Danio rerio: one gene and its partners. Each later gene encodes a partner of the first gene's protein in a complex. Links are inferred from orthologs where the notes say so. Each region holds a gene or a part of one and is shown in the gene's direction. Other genes may lie near its edges. The genes, in order: pigc, pigp and pigh.

What was found.
Region 2: pigc (region 1) and pigp share a complex: the UniProt entries of both Homo sapiens proteins name them as parts of the glycosylphosphatidylinositol-N-acetylglucosaminyltransferase (GPI-GnT) complex. The link is inferred for Danio rerio from reciprocal best matches to the Homo sapiens genes PIGC and PIGP.
Region 3: pigc (region 1) and pigh share a complex: the UniProt entries of both Homo sapiens proteins name them as parts of the glycosylphosphatidylinositol-N-acetylglucosaminyltransferase (GPI-GnT) complex. The link is inferred for Danio rerio from reciprocal best matches to the Homo sapiens genes PIGC and PIGH.

The regions. Positions count from the first base shown.
Region 1 is NC_133195.1:16,063,827-16,070,238, forward strand, and holds the start of pigc (phosphatidylinositol N-acetylglucosaminyltransferase subunit C), read left to right. Parts: upstream 1-2,646; 5' UTR 2,647-2,664; intron 2,665-5,678; 5' UTR 5,679-5,681; coding exon 5,682-6,412. UniProt on the Homo sapiens protein: Part of the glycosylphosphatidylinositol-N-acetylglucosaminyltransferase (GPI-GnT) complex that catalyzes the transfer of N-acetylglucosamine from UDP-N-acetylglucosamine to phosphatidylinositol and participates in the first step of GPI biosynthesis.
Region 2 is NC_133185.1:415,694-421,768, forward strand, and holds the start of pigp (phosphatidylinositol N-acetylglucosaminyltransferase subunit P), read left to right. Parts: upstream 1-2,198; 5' UTR 2,199-2,240; intron 2,241-2,345; 5' UTR 2,346-2,360; coding exon 2,361-2,448; intron 2,449-5,156; coding exon 5,157-5,229; intron 5,230-5,320; coding exon 5,321-5,439; intron 5,440-6,075. Other genes in the region: E3 ubiquitin-protein ligase TTC3, read right to left, coding at 207-272. UniProt on the Homo sapiens protein: Part of the glycosylphosphatidylinositol-N-acetylglucosaminyltransferase (GPI-GnT) complex that catalyzes the transfer of N-acetylglucosamine from UDP-N-acetylglucosamine to phosphatidylinositol and participates in the first step of GPI biosynthesis.
Region 3 is NC_133195.1:31,130,427-31,136,567, reverse strand, and holds pigh (phosphatidylinositol N-acetylglucosaminyltransferase subunit H), read left to right. Parts: upstream 1-2,244; 5' UTR 2,245-2,362; coding exon 2,363-2,539; intron 2,540-4,022; coding exon 4,023-4,232; intron 4,233-4,309; coding exon 4,310-4,393; intron 4,394-4,489; coding exon 4,490-4,564; 3' UTR 4,565-4,571; intron 4,572-4,668; 3' UTR 4,669-5,083; downstream 5,084-6,141. Other genes in the region: zfyve1 (zinc finger FYVE domain-containing protein 1), read right to left, coding at 1-262. UniProt on the Homo sapiens protein: Part of the glycosylphosphatidylinositol-N-acetylglucosaminyltransferase (GPI-GnT) complex that catalyzes the transfer of N-acetylglucosamine from UDP-N-acetylglucosamine to phosphatidylinositol and participates in the first step of GPI biosynthesis.

The DNA.
Region 1 (6,412 bases):
TTGAAGTCAGAATAATTAGCACCCTGGAATTATTAGCCCCCCTGTTTATTTTTGTCCCCAATTTCTGTGTAATGGAGAGAAATGTTTTTCAGCACATTTCTAAACATAACAGTTTTAATAACTCATTTCTTATAACTGTTTTATTTTATGTTTGCCATGATGACAGTAATATATATATATATATATATATATATGTGTGTGTGTGTGTGTGTGTGTGTGTATATATATATGTTTTTTGTGTCTTGTAGGTTAGCATGGGATGATATTTTTTTTAAATTTATATCACGGTTTGAAAAAGTCAAGGTTTTAAAACTGATAAAATTTTCTGCCATCCTACGGTATTAGTCTGAGCCGATAAACAATATTATATTGAATCACAATCAAATTTATGTCTGTAACAATGATAAGCAATGCACTTTTAACTCTATAATAATCTAGGAGCCAATCACACAGCAGAAAAGTGCCACAATGGGAATCTAAAAGTGTGTGATATTAGAGATGGACCGAATCTTTGGCCACTGAAAATTTTTTGGCCGAAAATATGTTATGCTGTTTAATCGGATCCTCTAATTTTTGTGACTTCAGTCCTTGTTGGGATACTCTTTTAAAATCTTAAAGCATTAACAACTTAAAAATATATTGTTATCGTTCAATATGGAAAATGATTTTCGAGATGACATTTTTGCCATATCGCTCAGCTCTACAAAGGTATGTGTAAGATTTTTTATTTGCATTTTTTTTTTGTTTGTTTTGTTTTTAGGACAACAGTATCTCCATCTCTCATACATAGATGCTGTTTTTAATTGTGAAGAAGTCTGTTGTTGAAACTAATGAAGACAGCAAAAGTCAATGATTGACTTGAATTATTCAGCCCGTCATGTTTACTGCTCCAAAATATTGTAAATGTTTCTCAAATGAAAATATATTGTGTTCAAATGGGAAAAAAGTTCTTGTTTTTTACCCAGACATTTAAAAAGAACAGATTTTAGAGCATTGAGCAGAATACCATGAAACAGTAAAACTGTGCTATTTATATCCAAGGTTATTACACCGTCAGAATCTTATACCGGCCCATGCCTACAAGTAAGTTGATTTATTTAAGTATGGTAAAAAAAAATGATTTCTCTCTCTCTCTGGTCTATTTCTGTGTTTCTACAACAACACTTTTCCTCTGAGAGTGTCTGTCCTCTAGGATCTGCTGCTCTTTCTGCTCTGCTCTGTGCTTTTCTGTTTGTCTATTGGTCAGACTGTTTTGTGCTTCCAATGTAATAGTGGCTTCATCATAGTTGCTCAAGTTAGTTCATAGCCTTTAACTTGATCTGACTCTCATTCATTCATTCATTCATTCATTCATTCATTCATTTTCTTTTCAGCTCAGTCCCTTTATGAATTTGGGGTCACCACAGCAGAATGAACCACCAACTTATTCAGGATATGTTCTATGCAGCAGATGCCCTTCCAGCTGCAACCCATCACTGGGAAACATCCATACATACTCATTCACACACATATGGACAATTTAGCTTAGCTAATTCACCTGTACTGCTGTAACCCATGCAAACACGGGGAGAACATGCAAGAAATGCCAATTGGACCATATGGCTTGAACCAGCTACCTTCTTACTGTGAGGTGAACGTGCTACCCACTACGCCACTGTGCAGCCCTTGATCTGACTCTGCACAATTATAAAATATAGAAACAATTATTATTACTATTATTATTATTATTGACTTAATATAAAGGATGATATATATATATATTACATTATTTTAGTTACTGATCTTTTCTCGTTGAATTTCTGATCTCATATCACCACCTTCTGGCCAATATCTAGAACTACATGTTGATTGTGAATAGGTTTGATGCTTTTTTTTTTTACATCTGAATGAATGAATCTTAGCTTGGTGTTTCTATACGTTCGTTGATGGACTTTTATTACAACTGTATGAAATAAATCCTTCATTTTAAAGCCAATAAGCTGTTTTACTCAGTATTAAAGTGCTAAACTAAAAATAATTCAATAATAAATAAATAAATGTCTCTGTCAATTTTTTCAAACTACTGTATTTAATTTACCAAAGTCACACAAGTGGCAATTGTACATCTGTCACATCCATTATGGAGACATGTCACATCCAAAACGACACTTTTTCCTCATGAATGAAAAAAAATAATTGTAGAATAAAATAAAATCAATCACATTTGAGGAGTCCGCTACAAATGAAAGAAGCCCTGTGTTATACAATATTGTTTGAGTCAAATTATTTTAAATACTCTAATACTGAAGTATTAGTGTAATATTAGTAACTAAAATGAATGAAAATAAATTGTTTGTGTGCAGACGGACTCCAAATATGATTATCCACTAATGAGGGTCAAACAAATGTAACAATAACTCAAATTACTAAACACTGTTTTTTTATTTAAATTTTAGTCATATGCTGTTACAAATTAATCAAGAGAGGATTACCCATAGACTATATAAATATTAAATGTATATGCATCTCACTTTTCACTCGTCGGCGGTTGTGAGGAACAGTCGTCAGGTGGCGCTCTTCAGTCAATACCACGGTTGCGCTTTTGTTTTTGTTTTTTGGTACGTCACTTCCGGATGTATGATGGCTTGACAGCTGCGGCTAAATACAGGAAACCCTGCTCATTCGGTAAGATTTTAGATTTATCTTGAACATTATTCTGTATAAGTTTGATATGAAATAATATATTTTGTCTGTATTTATACACTGTCGCCAGCTGGCTTACTGTATGACTGTATGATTGATTCATTCTGTATGAATCAGATTGACGTGAGAAGCTGTCAGTCAGATACCGCTTGACATTTAGGATAATAATAGATTGATTAAATGCACGTTTTACTTACACAAAGATAAACAATGCTGCTTAAAGTTTTGTGGTGTTTAATGTTTTTCTTTATATATAAACTATGAAGCAAATACATGATATGTGGAGAACAGGGTGTAGTTCACGCAAAAATCTAACTGGCCCCTCTAATTGGTTTTAAACCTTTATGAGTTTCTTTCTTCTGTCGAACATAAAGAAGATACTTTGATGAATGATGGATGCTGGGACCCATCTACTTACAAAGGCAAAGCAATTGCTATTGAAGTCAAAGGGTGCCAGGTATCAGCTAGACATGGCGTCACCTTATAAGGTTCTATTTGACATTTTTGTCAAAACTGAGTTATTGACATATTCTTACTAAATGACAACTTATTTACATTATGCGATGTTTTTTTATAAGTTGTTTACATTTTAAGATTTTTTATTTAAAAAACAAATGTTACACACATACTGTTTGCTATGCAATGCAAAAACTTTGAAGCTCAATATTTTAAAATCATTCAGAATGCAGATAAAACCTTATTATTCTAAGGTGACGATAGGCTGGTTTAAGATTGTGATGTATGATAACCTTGGATGAAAATATCACGGTATTGCTATTACTGCTCTAAAATAAATTCTTTTTAATCGTCTGGATAAACAACAAACTTTTTTCTACCTTTGAACACAATATATTTTATTTTGACAAACTTTTAAAAATATTTTGTAACAATAAACATGTCAGGCTAAATAATTTAAATCAATCTTTGACTTCCTCCCTCTTGATTAGCTTCAAAAACACTGATTTATTTATAATTTAAAAATGGCATTTTAGGATATCTTCTGCTGGAGATACTTATGTCCTAAAAACATAAAAACAAACAAACCTACATAAACCATTGGAACGGTATAGCAAAAAAAAAAAATTTAAAACCTTGATTTTTCCAAACCGTGGTATACCTTGAATACGGTTATCAACCCATACGTATTACCAGCATTCTTCAAAACATCTACTTTTGTGCTCAGCAGAAGAAAGAAACCCAAACAGGGTTTAAACAAGTGAAGGGGGAGTAAATGTTGACAATAAAAAAAAAATTAAGTGTACTTAAAGACCAATGAAAATTTCTCAGTTTCTCTGGATGTACTGAATTTACAAATTGTTTAAAATATTAATATAAAATATTGTTTTCTTATAACATTTATTCCAAATTTAAAATCTGAGTATTGTCATTTTAGAGCCCACCCCACCATTGTTGTGAACATTTTCCATTGTTGTGATTAACAACCTAGGTTATTAATATTGGTTTCTTATATTTGGTAATATTTTGGTAATATTCGGTAATATTGGTTTCTTAACTGGCCTAAAATTGAAATTGAAGAAAAAAAGAAAAGAAATTGAAAACACGGAGCAATCGCTCGCTTTTTTTAATGCTTAATAGTAATAATTCTGTTTAATCCCGCCCCTTTTCGCATCGCCATACGACAGAATTTTGCACACACAAACTCTAGTGTGACTGCAGCTTGAGCCCAAGGAAAATGAATGAATGCTCGTAATGCATTATGATTTATGCAAACTCACTGCATAGAAAATAATTTTCTGTGTACCTGAGTACCATTTGGAGTCCCATATGAGATTATTTTCACCATTGTATTGTAAAATGTTACTCTACCATGATGCCTGTTTGACAACAATGCAGAAAGTTATACAAGATCATCGCAGGATATCAGCAGTATTATTGGCTGGATTGCCTGTCAATCAAACTACCTGCAAAGGGTTAATTGCATCATCAAAGCAATAAAATAATAAATAAAAGAAAAACACTTGATCAATCAGTCGATCTAAATTAATGAAATCTTTCCAAATAGAAGTATTCGATTCATCTGGTGAAACTATATTCGTGTCACAAAACAGTGGGGGAAATAAGTATTCCACACATCACCTTTTCTTTTCAGAAAACATATTACTAAAGGCGCTGTTGACTTAAAATATTTCCCAGATGTTTAAAACAATCAAAAAAATCTAAGTATGCAAAGACAACAAATCTAATTATTTTACAAATAAAGTTATGTGTAATAAAAAAAATGAAGCAGGGAAAAAATATTAAACACATGAAGATAGAGAGGTGCAGAATGACAATAAAAGCCCAGACAGCAGCTGAAATCTCTCAGTAGTTCTTCAGCAACCCCCTTTTCTTCGCCATTGTAAATTAATATCAGCTGCTTCAGTCCAACATCTACATTAGCAGGATGATAAAAAGGAAACCATAGCGGAAATTTCAGCAAAACAATGATTCAAAACACAGCTAAGAAAAGAGAAAGAAAATCAAGCTGTAGAATGGCCCAGCCAATCACCTGACTTGAACCCAATAAAAAATACAAATTAAAGATCAGATTTGAAAGATGGGACTCACATAACCATTAAGATTTTTACACAGTGTTGAAGTCTCTGAAGAACTCACACCTTAGCAATTCATGTGACTTCATTCTCCATATGAGAGGCGTCTTTAAGCTGCCATCATCAAAAAAAGCTTTTTATATGAAGTATTTCAGTAGTTCAACACTTCTCCTTGTGTCATTCCATTGTTATTACACATCACTTATTTTTCAGATGTGTTTTATTTTATTCTATTTTAATATTTGTATTGTTTGAGTTTTTACCAAAATCAGGATCAATCTCATGTCAACAGCTCCTTTAGAAACATTATTCCTAGATAAAAACATGTCATGTTCAATAGAGAATTCCTAATGTGGCAGCAAAACTAAAAATGAGCAATGTCACATTTTTTCCCAATATCATGCATAGCTAATGTTCAGCCACTGTGTTCTCTGATTTGGACAGGCGATGGGAGCAGACAGCGGTCCAGGGGCTCCTTCGGCCGTCCCGTGGAGGAAAGTGCTCTATGAACGGCAGCCTTTCCCAGACAACTATGTGGACCGGCGTTTCCTGGAGGAGCTGCGGCGGAACATCCGCGTCCGCCAGTACCGCTACTGGGCTGTGGTTCGCGAGACAGGCCTTATCGCCCAGCAGGTGTCCTGCGTGGCCCTCTTTCTCACACTGTGGTCCTACATGGAGCAGGGTGAGCTGGAGCCGTCTGCCGTGTTATGCGTCTGCCTAGGCTGCGCTCTGTTTGGATACGGGCTCTATGAGGTCCTGGGAGGAGCCAGTGATGGCAAACGGACGCGTCTTGCGGACCTGCAGAGCGCTGCTGTCTTCCTAGCATTTACTTTTGGGTTTTCACCAGTTTTAAAGACTCTGACCGAGTCGGTCAGCACTGATACCGTGTACGCCATGTCGGCAGTTATGCTCCTGGCTCATCTGGTGTCTTTCCCGTATGCTCAGCCCAGTCCGCCGGGAAGTCTTTCTCTAAATGCAGCTCTGTTCGGGTCGGTGTGTCTAGCATCCCGTCTGCCCGGAGCCCTGCACACCTTCACCATGCTGACCTGCGCGCTGCTGGTGTTCGCGCTCTGGCCCTGCCTGCTGCACCGGGTGCGGGAGAAGGCGGACTGGAGCTTCCCCTGGGCGGCGCTGCTGGTGTGTTTGGCCGGCGTCAGGGGTTTGGGAAGCCTTTGGCC
Region 2 (6,075 bases), on another chromosome or scaffold:
CACACATTTCTGCCATTTTTCTAGACAGAGTGTTGGATAGTCAGAAATGTCAGCTCACGCCTCTTTAAATCTATTAATATTATCAGAGATGATCAATATAAGAATAGACTCACTACACACTCAGTTTGAGCACTGTTGTCCACTCACTGTAACGCTTCTGTCCTCGCCACTGCTGTGAAAGCAATAAATGACTGAAATATACTCACAATCTTGGTTTTGTGCCTCTGAACATTGGGTCCTTCCTCCAGATCTGAGTCGTCACTGTCTGACATTCTGCTTCACACACAAAATCAGGAAAATCAGCAAAAGATTTGCATCTCGATGGGGGTAAAGGTGTTTTTACATTCGCAGAGAGCATTCTCAGCCCATACGACATAGAGAAATCACATTGTCAGCCAAATGACTGTCGAAGTACATCAGAGGTGCTCAACCCTGCTCCTGGACATCTGCCTTCCTGCACACTTCAGCTCCAGCCCTGATCAAACTCACCTGAGCAGCACTGCATAACTACAGGCAGGTGTGTTTAATATGGGTTGGAGCTGAATGCTGTAGGTAGGTGGATCTCCAGGAGCAGGGCTGAGCCTGAAGTACAACAGTTCAGTCAATTAAACAGTGCTAATGTTCAGTTCCACACCCAATATTCACAGTAGCGCGGTGAACAACATATGGAGAGGGTCACAGATTGTCACAAGAGTTCAGGAATGAGTGGATGTGTCTAACATTATATAAACCTAGTAAACACCAACTGCACAGTTTTACAGCAAACATCAGAGCAGCCTCGCTTCCCATGATGCACCTCGGGGAGACACACCTGACCCAGAGGCTTCCATTGCAAAACCACGAGCTGTTTACTGTCTAAACTGACACAAACCTGGCCAAACCTCTCCTCAAACCCGAGCTGTGCCGTGGTAAAGCTGAGGTAAACTCTCCTGCTCGCTTTATCCGCAGCTTCGCCTCAGGAGTTCAGCTTTTCTCCTTCAGCTCGTGTTTTTCTGCCTCTAAAAGGCGCCAAACTCGTCATTTCTCCGCCATTATTGAGCGTTTAATCTCTTCTCCTCTAAAGATCAGCTCGCACATCTGTAATTATCGCACTGAAAGGCGCAAACTTTACCAGGAAGTTGAACGCGACGCATTCTGGGCTGGCAGACGCTTTACCTGTGTTGATGACACGCGGGGCGTCGCGGAAGTAAGAACACGCGCTGCCGCAGCTAACCGTCCATCAGTCGTGAATATTCGGGGAGAAATGTTTATAAACTGACCTGATTCAGAAGAGCAGCTCCACTGTTTCCTGATGTTTAACCTCACGCATCAACTGCAGCGCGAAACTGACGCGGAGTAAGAAGCGCGCCCTCTGCTGTTCGCCCGCGCGAGTGGCATCAGCGCGCCCTCTGCTGTTCACCACTAGAAGGGATACAGGTGTTGTCCGAAGTAACAACTTGTTTTTACTTTATTTTAAATTAGCCATTAATTGTATTTGAGTTAATTGCACATTGTATTGACGTCTACCTACCCCAACCCCAAACCTCACAGCAATGGATTAACAGAAATTATACCGAATATCACTCATATTATTTATTAAAATGCTCATTAAACTGTATTGTATTACTACAACCCTCACAGTAATGTAAAAACAGTAATTATACAGAGTATTATTCATATTATTTATTAAATTACCCATTAAACTGTATTTAATTATCTTCTACCCTCACAGTAATGTACAATAATCAATATTGTTGTAGTGTCGTATAGATTGTGCTATACTAATGTGAGAATCCGCAGCTGTATCCCTTCTAGACGGAGTGACGTCAGCGCGCCCTCTGCTGTTCGGCCGCGGACACCAACGTTTGTCTTAAAGGCACAGCTCACCCAGTCATTTTAATTCTGTTGTCATTTACTGCCTTCTTTAGTTGTTTTACTTGAACACTTATACGCTTCATTTTAACTGCTGAACACAACAAATATTTAACATGTACGGTAAAGTACATGCTCTTAATCTGTCATAAACACACAGAATATCAGACCGAGCTAATACACGCAGATATTAGTGAATGAAGGAGAGAGAGCGTCTTCAAAATCAACATTATTTTTTACAAACAATATTTATATGGAAAATAAAAATCAGAGCATTAAACCAAATAATAGGTGCGCGCGCGTTTGTTTGTCTCCAGGCCGCGCGGGGGCGGCAGGACGCAGTGCGCCTGCGCAGAAACACAAGGAAGCACCATCAGGAAATAAGACATGTATGTTCTGTTTTTCGTTTTATATGTTATAGTATTTATCGAAACTAAAGCGTGTGTGATGTGTTAGTTTGGAGCATTGATGTGTGTGTGTGTGTGCGCGCGCAGGTGTCGCTGCTGGAGATGGTGATGGTGGAGAACTCTCCTTCTCCTCTGCCGGAAAGAGCCATCTACGGCTTTGTGCTGTTCCTGGGCGCTCAGCTGGGCTTCTGTACGTCTCTAACTCGATCTGTACTGATATTGCACACACATTAGCCGCATTTCCACTATCGGGCCAGTGCGAGCCAGGGCTTTAATCGGGCCGGGGCGGGCCAACAGCCCGGGAGGTTGAGAAATGAGGCTGAAATCATGTCGCGTTTCCACTGTCGGGCTAAAGCTCACAGCGCGTCACGCAAACACCGCCCACAGAACGTCCCCGAATCAAACGTCACACAACCCGCCCACTTCAGCGAGAATCAGGCAGATAAAGCACACCATAAATCATCACGAAACGAAACCATTAAAATGAAGACAACCGAAACAAACAAACGACACGTTACTGTACAGCAGTACATGACATGTCTATACGCACAGACCTGTGTATTTCCATTCATTACATTTGTTTACTCGCCGACCGACTGCATTGTGCATGGAGTGCTCTCGCCACTAACGCAGGGACCCAACACAGAGAGCGCACACATCCATAATATAAAGCCACAGAAATTCTCCTTTATAACTCAATATGTCATGTATTTTTTAACATCCTCTTGTTGATAGAAGTCGTGTTAAGTTTTCAGCACAAGAGCGAGTAGCCTAATAAAATATAGCCATATTTGTTGCGCTCGGCAGCTATTCACTAAAACTCCTCATTTAAAGTTTCATTTATAAATTTAACCACGTCAAATAAAAACATAAACAGTTGTTTGAGGATATAGAACACATTTTGTGTTTGGACTTCCCCCATATGCGTTTAAAGCAGCGAGTGCTGCGCAGGACTGAGTGACAGAAAAAAAGGTATAGGAGATTCTGCTTTCACTCACTCAAATAATGCTCTGTTTGCGCGATTTGATTAATATCATCGTATCCAAATACTTTATAAATATTTACTTATATAAATATTTACTTTATATAAATATTTCAAACCTTCTCCGGTGTTTATTGTTTTTAAAAAATATCGAAAATCTTTTTTTTTTTCAGACAGGTCTTTGCAAAATGAAAGTTAGGCTATATGTGGCTTTAAAACGGTTTGATTTATGTATTGTATATAGGCTACCTACATTGTTATAGTTAGCTTTTGTTTATTTTATATTGGTTAATTTATTTAATGTGATTATATATCCGATATTTGTAATTCTTTAAATTATATTTCAATATACCTTAGGCTATTTTATCAAGATATGACAATATATTGTTTAAAGTCTACGAAAGTGGGCACGTATTTTGTTAAGTTTATGTCTTTCTGTTGTATTTATATGTGTATTATCTCCAAAATAAATAAAGAAAAAAGCCGCTCGCGGCATAACAGAGCTGTGAAGGAGCGCTTTTGCCCGGTCTCACACACACATACAGGCATCTAAACGTGCACAAACAAACAAACATTTTAAACTTGACAAAAACTCTCGAAAACTTTTACTGTCTGCTGTGTTTTTAATATGGTGTAAAGATTATTATGCGTTGAAACATAAAGGAGGACGCAGCAAAGAACGTCACTATAAATTAAAACAACTTTATTATTTTATGCAGGAGCCTTACATTTAAAAGGGAAACATAAGGGTGATCATACGCAAAAAGACCCCAGACTATAAGGCTAGATGTTTTCTTTCCCTTATTTCTTTATTTGTTTGGCGCATGTACTCATGTGCGATCAGAAAACTGTCCGCCTCTTCTTTCACTCCGCCCCGAAGCCCCAGCTGGCCCTCCTTGGCCCAAGGTATTCGGCGGGCCGAAAAAGGCCGGCCGCTGGCCCCAAGAAAGCCCCGCTTTGGCCCGATTAGGCCCCGGAAGTGACAGTGGAAACCCCACTGGCCTTGGCTCGCCCTGGCTCGCTCGCTTTAGGCGCGATAGTGGAAACGCGGCTATTGTCCTTTACAGATGAAGAGAGGCTTTAATCCTGTGGCAGAAACATCAACAGAATCTACAGACTGACAGCAGTGTCTCACACACACACACACACACACACACACACACACACACACTAGAGTACAGGGCATTATACTGTCTGTATGTTTAGCTATGATGCTGAATGCTGACTGTAGTAAGAAGTACTGTAGTACACTTCAGTTTACTCAGGTAAAGTGTGGTGTATTGTGCTCTAAAGTTGTAGAAGAATACAGTTCTGACTCATAGATTACTGTAGCTGTTGTGGTACCATAGCAACCGTAGAATCACCACAACTGATCAATTACTGTAGTTTTGTTACCATAGCAACCGTAGAATCACCACAACTGATCAATTACTGTAGTTTTGTTACCATAGCAACCGTGGAATCACCACAACTGATCAATTACTGTAGATTTGTTACCATAGCAACTGTAGAATCACCACAACTGATCAATTGCTGTAGTTTTGTTACCATAGCAACTGCAGAACCACAACAGATCAATTACTGTAGATGTGTTACCATAGCAACTGTAAAATCACCACAGCAGATCAATTATTATAATTGTCATGTTACCATAGCGACTGTAGAATCACCACAGCAGATCAATTTCAGGACTTGACTCAGTCGCTGAAACACTACAGTGTTCACTATAAATGACTTGAGCATTATTTATTTGTTCTGGACTCATAATTGATATCTGAATAAACATGCAGCATGACAGAAAACAGTACTTCTGCTTGACAAACACCTCTATCTTGAAGACATTGCAGCTGCTGGTGTGTTCTTCATCTGTGGTGTTGTGTGTGTTTGTTTGTGTGTGTGTTTGTGTTCTCCATCAGTGCTGTATGTGGTCTGGGCGTTTGTTCCTGACTCTTGGCTCCATGCAGCCGGACTGACCTACTGGCCGCAGAAGTGAGTGGTCTGTCTGTCGTCTGCTCTTCAGATGCTGATGTTTAATGTCTGATCAATCACTCTTTCTCTCTCTCCGTCTGTCTGTCGTCAGATACTGGGCTCTGGCGGGCCCCATATACCTGCTGGTGGCCCTGAGCACCTGTTTCGTGCTACTGTTCGGAGTGAATATGATGAACACGGCTCCGCTGGCCTCAGTGGACAACATCACAGGTGAGAATTCAGACTAACACCACATGAGCCATTAGTGTTTGAGCTGCTGAAGATCATGTCAGCGGAGACTCAGAGCATTATAGATGTGCAGTTCTAGATGAACAGAGACAGGAGCCACAGACTGCAGACACACTCACACTGATGCATACACAACACACACACTGACGCATAGCCGTCTGTAGCTCCGCCCTCTTCTAAAAAGAGCTCAACCTCATTTGCATTTAAAGCGACAGTCACCAAAACACCACAATGAGGATCACAGCCTGAAAGAGTCAGTTTCAGAGAGCTGGAGGACATCAACTGTGTACTGTTCTCAGCTCAAACACACACACACACACACACACACACACACACACACACACACACAAGAGAGAGACACAGCAGAGACGCATTTACAGCTTGTAGAAAGGGGCAGAATAAGTCTCCTTTAATGAGTTAACAGTCTCAACCCCTATGATGAATGGCAGATTAGCAGATTCTGACATTACTCCTCCACATCTGGACACTTGATCTTCACTAAAGTCTCTTGAACCGTCACAGACACTTTCCTAATGTGCTGTCAGCGAATCTGAAGTCTCTTCTGTCAGTCTAATTCACCAGAACTGAACTCTCATGACTGGATGAATGATTCTGTTC
Region 3 (6,141 bases), about 15 Mb from region 1:
CTCTCAGCCGACCCCCGTTCGGCACCCCTCCATCACCTTTACACGAATCGCAGTAGGGTACGTGGCCAGGAGCGATTCGGATCCTGTCGTGGTTCCTCATGCGGTCCTGACGGTGGAGCTCCAGCTCGCAGCGGATGCACTGCAGGCTGCCGCATTCGTCGCACTCGAAGGCGGCCTCGTCCGTGCCACCGCAGGCGTAGCTCTCCTGACAAACCAGAACGCCGTTCAGCCCCTTCTCCGCCGACGAGCCCTGGCCGCTCATTATACGTCCAAATATAATAGCGAGGTAACGGAAGCGAACGAACTTGAACGGAAATTTCTCTGAAAGTTACTCAACTACAGCAGAGAGCAACCTAAATGTACAATCAACTACTGACACGCTATATAATACCTCATAGATAATGCATTTAGCGTCCTAAACAATATATCTCACTCGTCTGCTGTGAATTTCATTGGAATTCAAAATGTGATGTCAAATTATGACACTGGCTTAAAATCAAATATTCAATATGAACTATAAATAGATCAGTTGACATCCGTGTAGCACTGGCACTAGGACAGATTGTCGAGCTTTCTAATTGATTTAAAAGTGTTCAAGCGGTCTAAACTGACAATCTACAAGCCATAAGTATCGAAATGTTTGTATTGGCAGACATAAACACTGAGAAAACAGCTACATTCGAGTGTTGTTATCGCCCTGGGCTTTTGTTACTCAAGCTAGCTACGATTAGCATACGTGACTGGGCTGTCTCCTCTAGTTTCAAAGACTAAATACTAGTGGGGTTAGAAAATATGACTTCTGTATCTGAATTAATAATGGTTTAGTATCGTACAGTCCTTAAAGTATGTTCACCCAACAACACACACTGATCAACAGAGCTTTGACCGAACAAAACAAGCTGATTTCGAGCCAGAATCACACCGCAGTTTTCAACAAACGAGCTGCTGAATTCCCTCAAACATCGCACACGACAACGACTCTGTCATAAACACAAAAACAATAAGCCGGTTGATGTGAAGATAACTGTTTTTGCCCACCAGCTTGTAAAATGATTCCCCTCCCCGGTAGATTCGGGTGAATGTTGTTGCCAGGTCAGATCAGCTGATCGGCTTGTTTTCACTGGAGCGGGAGTCAAAGGTTACCGACCGCAGGGGCTGATGGGAAATGCAGTCAGATCTCATACATTTCCTAAAGAATCGATAATGCAATGGGGAGAGGTCATCTGAAAAATATTTCAAAAACAAAATGGTGGTAGAATACAATTTATGGGAATGTACTAGGCAGTTTTTTTATTGTAGGCTACATTTATTTGGTCGATTATTACCTTCACATTGCTGGTGACAAAGACACTAAAATATAAATAAAATAAAATACTTAACATTTTAATTGTTACTCAAGTTAATATAGTCTTACTGCATAATCTAATAACATCAAAACAGTTAGCGTATTTCACATGGCACTCCGGGGGTATCCTGCTGTTCCCAGGCCAGCCGAGAGCCGTCCTGGGTCTTCCCCGAGGCCTCCTCCTGGTGGGACATGCCTGGAACACCTCCCAAGGTAGACGTCCAGGAGGCAGACTTCTCAGCTGACTTCTCTCGATGTGGACAAGCAGCGGCTCTACTCTGAGCTCCTCCCGGGTGTCAGAGCTCCTCACCCTATCCATAAGAGTGCACCCTGCCACCCTTCAAAGGAAACTAATTTTGGCCTCTTGTATATGAGATCTTTTCCTTTCCGTCATGACCCAAATCTCATGACCACTGGTGAGAGTAGGAACGTAGATTGACCGGTAAATCGAGAGCTTTACCTTTCGGCTCAGCTCCTTCTTTACCACAACGGACCGGTACATCGACTGCATTACTGATGACGTTGCATCAATCCACCTGTCAATATCACTTTCCATCCTTCCCTCACTCGTGAACAAAACCCCAAGAAACTTAAACTCCTCTACCTGGGGTAAGAACTTTCCTCCAACCTGGAGGTGCAAATATTACTAATCAAAAATTTTATTATTTACTTGTATTTATTTAAAAAAATATATTTTTGTGAAACATAGCTCAGTAAATAACTTAATGAAAAAGATCATTTAGGCTTTTACAATGTACTTTACAGTGTACTTGTTTTCACTGGAGCGAGAGCTAAATATTTTTGTGCAACTGGTTTTGTGGTCCAGAATGGGAGTTTTCAACCCCAGTCCAGTAGATGGCGAAAACGCACCTGTATGTTATTTTGCCAACGTCACATTATCATAAGAAGAAGATGGTTTTACTGTTGGTGGAAAAATAATAATCTAAGCAAAACTATTTATTCTGAAGTCTTTATTAATGTAATTTTCCGACCGCGAAATAACCAGCAGTGATCGAGATGGCCGACGAAGAGTTCACAGACATAAATGGCAACTGGATTTCTTTAGACTGCCAAACGCACTCTTCTTTCTGCAGAGAGTTTACTGTTACCTCACCCAAACTGTCCTTGCGCAAGGTGATGGTGTACACCTGCTGTGTGTGGTTATTTGCTTATGCTGTGTTCTTCTTCACCCAGGTAAGAACATTTTATCATGCGGACTATGAAGGCCTTGGCGTCTTTTGCTGTTTATTAGACAAAAAATGACTGTTTATTGGACTTTGATTTGACATTGCGCGAAAACGTCTATTATACAGTTGAAAACAAATTTATTAGCCCTCCTTTGAAATTGAACTTTTTTTTACTAAGTTATTTTCCCAAGTTTTCTTTAACGTTTAGAGAAGATTTTATTTAAAAAAAGAATTTAATGATAACATAATTATTTTGTTTTTTGCCATAATGAAATTAAATAATATTTTACAATTTATTTTGCAAAATACTAGTAATATTAATCTAAAAATGCAATTTAAAGGCTTAACTGGGTTATTTAGGGTTAACTAGGTCAAATCATTGGACAACAGTGGTTTGATCTGTAGCCAATATTTAATATTTCTTAAGGGAAAAAAAATACATATTTAAAATGTACGTCCATATAGTGAGGAAACAGAAGTAGTTTACGTTGTCATTTATAGTGCATTTATTACAGCTGCTGAGTGCAGGTTAAAACATTTGATTGTGCATGAGGCTGTATTTGGAGATCAAAATAAGAAAACAATATATAGTTTCTCTGAAAAAAAAAAGCTTCTAAAAAGTGTAAATGAAAAGTATATTTGGAAATACTGTAAATATTTTCCTTGCTCTGTTAAAATATCCATCGGCAATTATTCTAAGAAAAAGGATTTTACAGTAAGGCTGATCATGTGGTCTTCAACTGTATTCAGTGATTTTATCACATGAGCCAAACCATAAAAAATGCTTTCTTTACCCATCACAATATGCAATTTTAAAGAAGATAAAACCAAAATACAGAATATGTTGGTTCAATAAAGTCGTATCCCTCTAAATCCAATACACTCAGTAACCATTTCATTTGGCAGGATTATAGTCGAACAGGAACCCAAATTAATCATGTTTGTGTTTTTAAGGCCTGTGATTGTGTAAGCATGTAAAGCATTCATGCATAATGAAATAATGAAAACTATTTTACATTTGATTACTCAATTTGAGTACCCGAATACTGCTAGAAGGTTGTTGTTTTCATTCATCGCTTTGCTCTACTGTTTTTATCAATACTTTTGATTGATTTATTAAATTTGATGCAGATACACTCCACAAAATCATCATAATCAATGTAAAATTATGTAAATTCTTTCCAAATAGAGCTATTCATTTCATCTGGTGAATTTATTTACAGAATCTCAATGTGTATTGACAAAAAACTAAATACTGCAATATCAGCTTTTTCCCAATATCATACAGCCCTAGTATATATCTCAAAATTCCACTTAGTACTAAGCAAGAAGAACTTATTCAGGAATTTCCAACATGGCTGCGATTGAAAGTTTGATATTATAATAGAATATATGAAATATTTTCGTGAATGTCAAGCAAATGTTCAATATAAATCTAACCTAATTGCTCTTATTGATCTAATATAATTCTCCTTCTGTTTAATATTCAGAACACGGCGGTTCTGTCAAGTGCCATCATCCTCACTTTAGTTGGGATGGTGATTCATATTCACTTTGTGAAGGTGGACCATGAGACCCTTCTCATAATAGGCTCTCTGGGTGTCCAATTGTCCTCGTCTTACGCCTCTGGACGAGAAAGCACGACTTTCATTGAGATGAGCAAGCTGAAAGACATCGTCATAAATGAGGCTGTTTATATGGTAAACACACAGTGACCTTCACGCATGATAGATATCGAGATGTAAAAATAATCAGTGTTTGTGTTTTTGCTCCTCAGCACAACATCATATACTATCTGTGCATTCTCATCAAGGACCCAGCAGATCCTGAGACGGTGACCAGTGTTGTTCCTCTCTTCCAGGTTCAAAACAGCTGTTGTTATTCATTCGCAAAAGCAAGATTATAGGAATTTGTGACATCTCAGTATGTAAATGAACACCTTTGGTTCTTCCTCCAGAGTTCAAAGCCTCGGCTCAATTGTTTGATTCAAGTGTACAAGAGCTGTCAAGAAATTCTAGCACAGAGCAGATGACGCAGAGGTAATGCTTCATGTTTTGCTAGATATTCTGCATGTTTTACATGACTGACATAGTTCTGTGTCTATATATGCTTTATGACTCCATGTTTTTCGATCAGCAGAGGCTTTCTTTGAAGATGAATGAAGATTGGAAAACTCCAGAACGAATCATAAGCACATTGTTGGTAGCTTTTTTGTATTGTCAGTAATACACAATGCATTTTGTTACATGCAGAAGTTTTTAGATAGGCTTCGCATTCAAAAACGTTTGTACATAACAGTATTCTTGCCTCATTTAAAACATTATTTAATGATTAGCCATTTAGTTTTTTAGGATGTGTTCACACTTGTTTTGCATAATTTTGTTAAAAAAAACTGACAACGGAATATTTTCAATATATATTTTAATATGAAGACTTGAATAGATCTATTCAGAAATAATTCATTATTTTAGATTGATTAGGGTGATTATTGTTATTATTATTATTATTATTTTCCATTTTAGGGGAGCACATTTGGATCAAATATAACAAATCACAAGAAAAAATAAGTACAACAGAAAATACAATGGTCTATGGTTCACTGGTGAGACTAACAATACAGAAATAAATATGACACTGAAACAATTACTGTATGGTATAAATATTTAAATACAAGTAATCTTTGTTAAAGCTACAGACATAATTGCTTAAATGCTTTTAACAGGGTGTCCCCGAGGTCTTACAAAGTAATAAAGTGTCTTAAATTTCAAAAAACAAAATTTTAGGCCTTAAGTTTGAAATTCACTGCAATATTGTGCTGCGAGTCTTAAATCATTTTACACAGGTCTTATTTTACTATTTCCATTTAAAGCTACCCTATCGGGCTGACACCCAATCACCAATAATCAGTCTTAATTTTTTGGTTCATATTTAGTTTTTTTTATTGTTATTATTTTTATTATTTAAAAAGATACATGTCACATAAGCTGTTAGACATTTTTACAGCTAATTAAATTCCCTAATCAGGGAAAGAAAACTAAAGCAACGCATCCTTTTACATGATCTTCCATTAATACAAAAACTATTTACAGAAGTAACCGGGCCATTCAAAATTCTTAGTGTTTAGAGCTGTATCAGTCTAAAATTTCACTCATATGCTTTTGAAAGGGTCTTAAAAAGTCTTAAGTTTGACTTGAAGAAACCCTGTTTAAAACCCTTTTTTAGAAATGCCTTAAAAACACCTGGAAATAATAAACAATAAATTTCTTATGATTAAACAATAAAATTCGGGGTGCTGGTCAACCATAATACAGACTCAACATTGTAGATCCTGCGATGAGACAATTGCAAATGTACACATTGCGATATTAATGCTGAAATGATATATTGTGCATCCCAGCAAGTGGATCAACCAGATAAATCTTGGTGCATTCCCAAAAACACAAGATGTGACTATTAAAAGGATTGATTGATGAATTATGTTCATATTCTGAACCCATAGTGAAACGGGACCACGTGTGTAATAAATTTTTTGCTCTGCACCAAAAGAACAGAACAGAGCTCTACAATAAGTGTGAACACACCCTAAGTGCTTTCATTCCCTTTAAAATG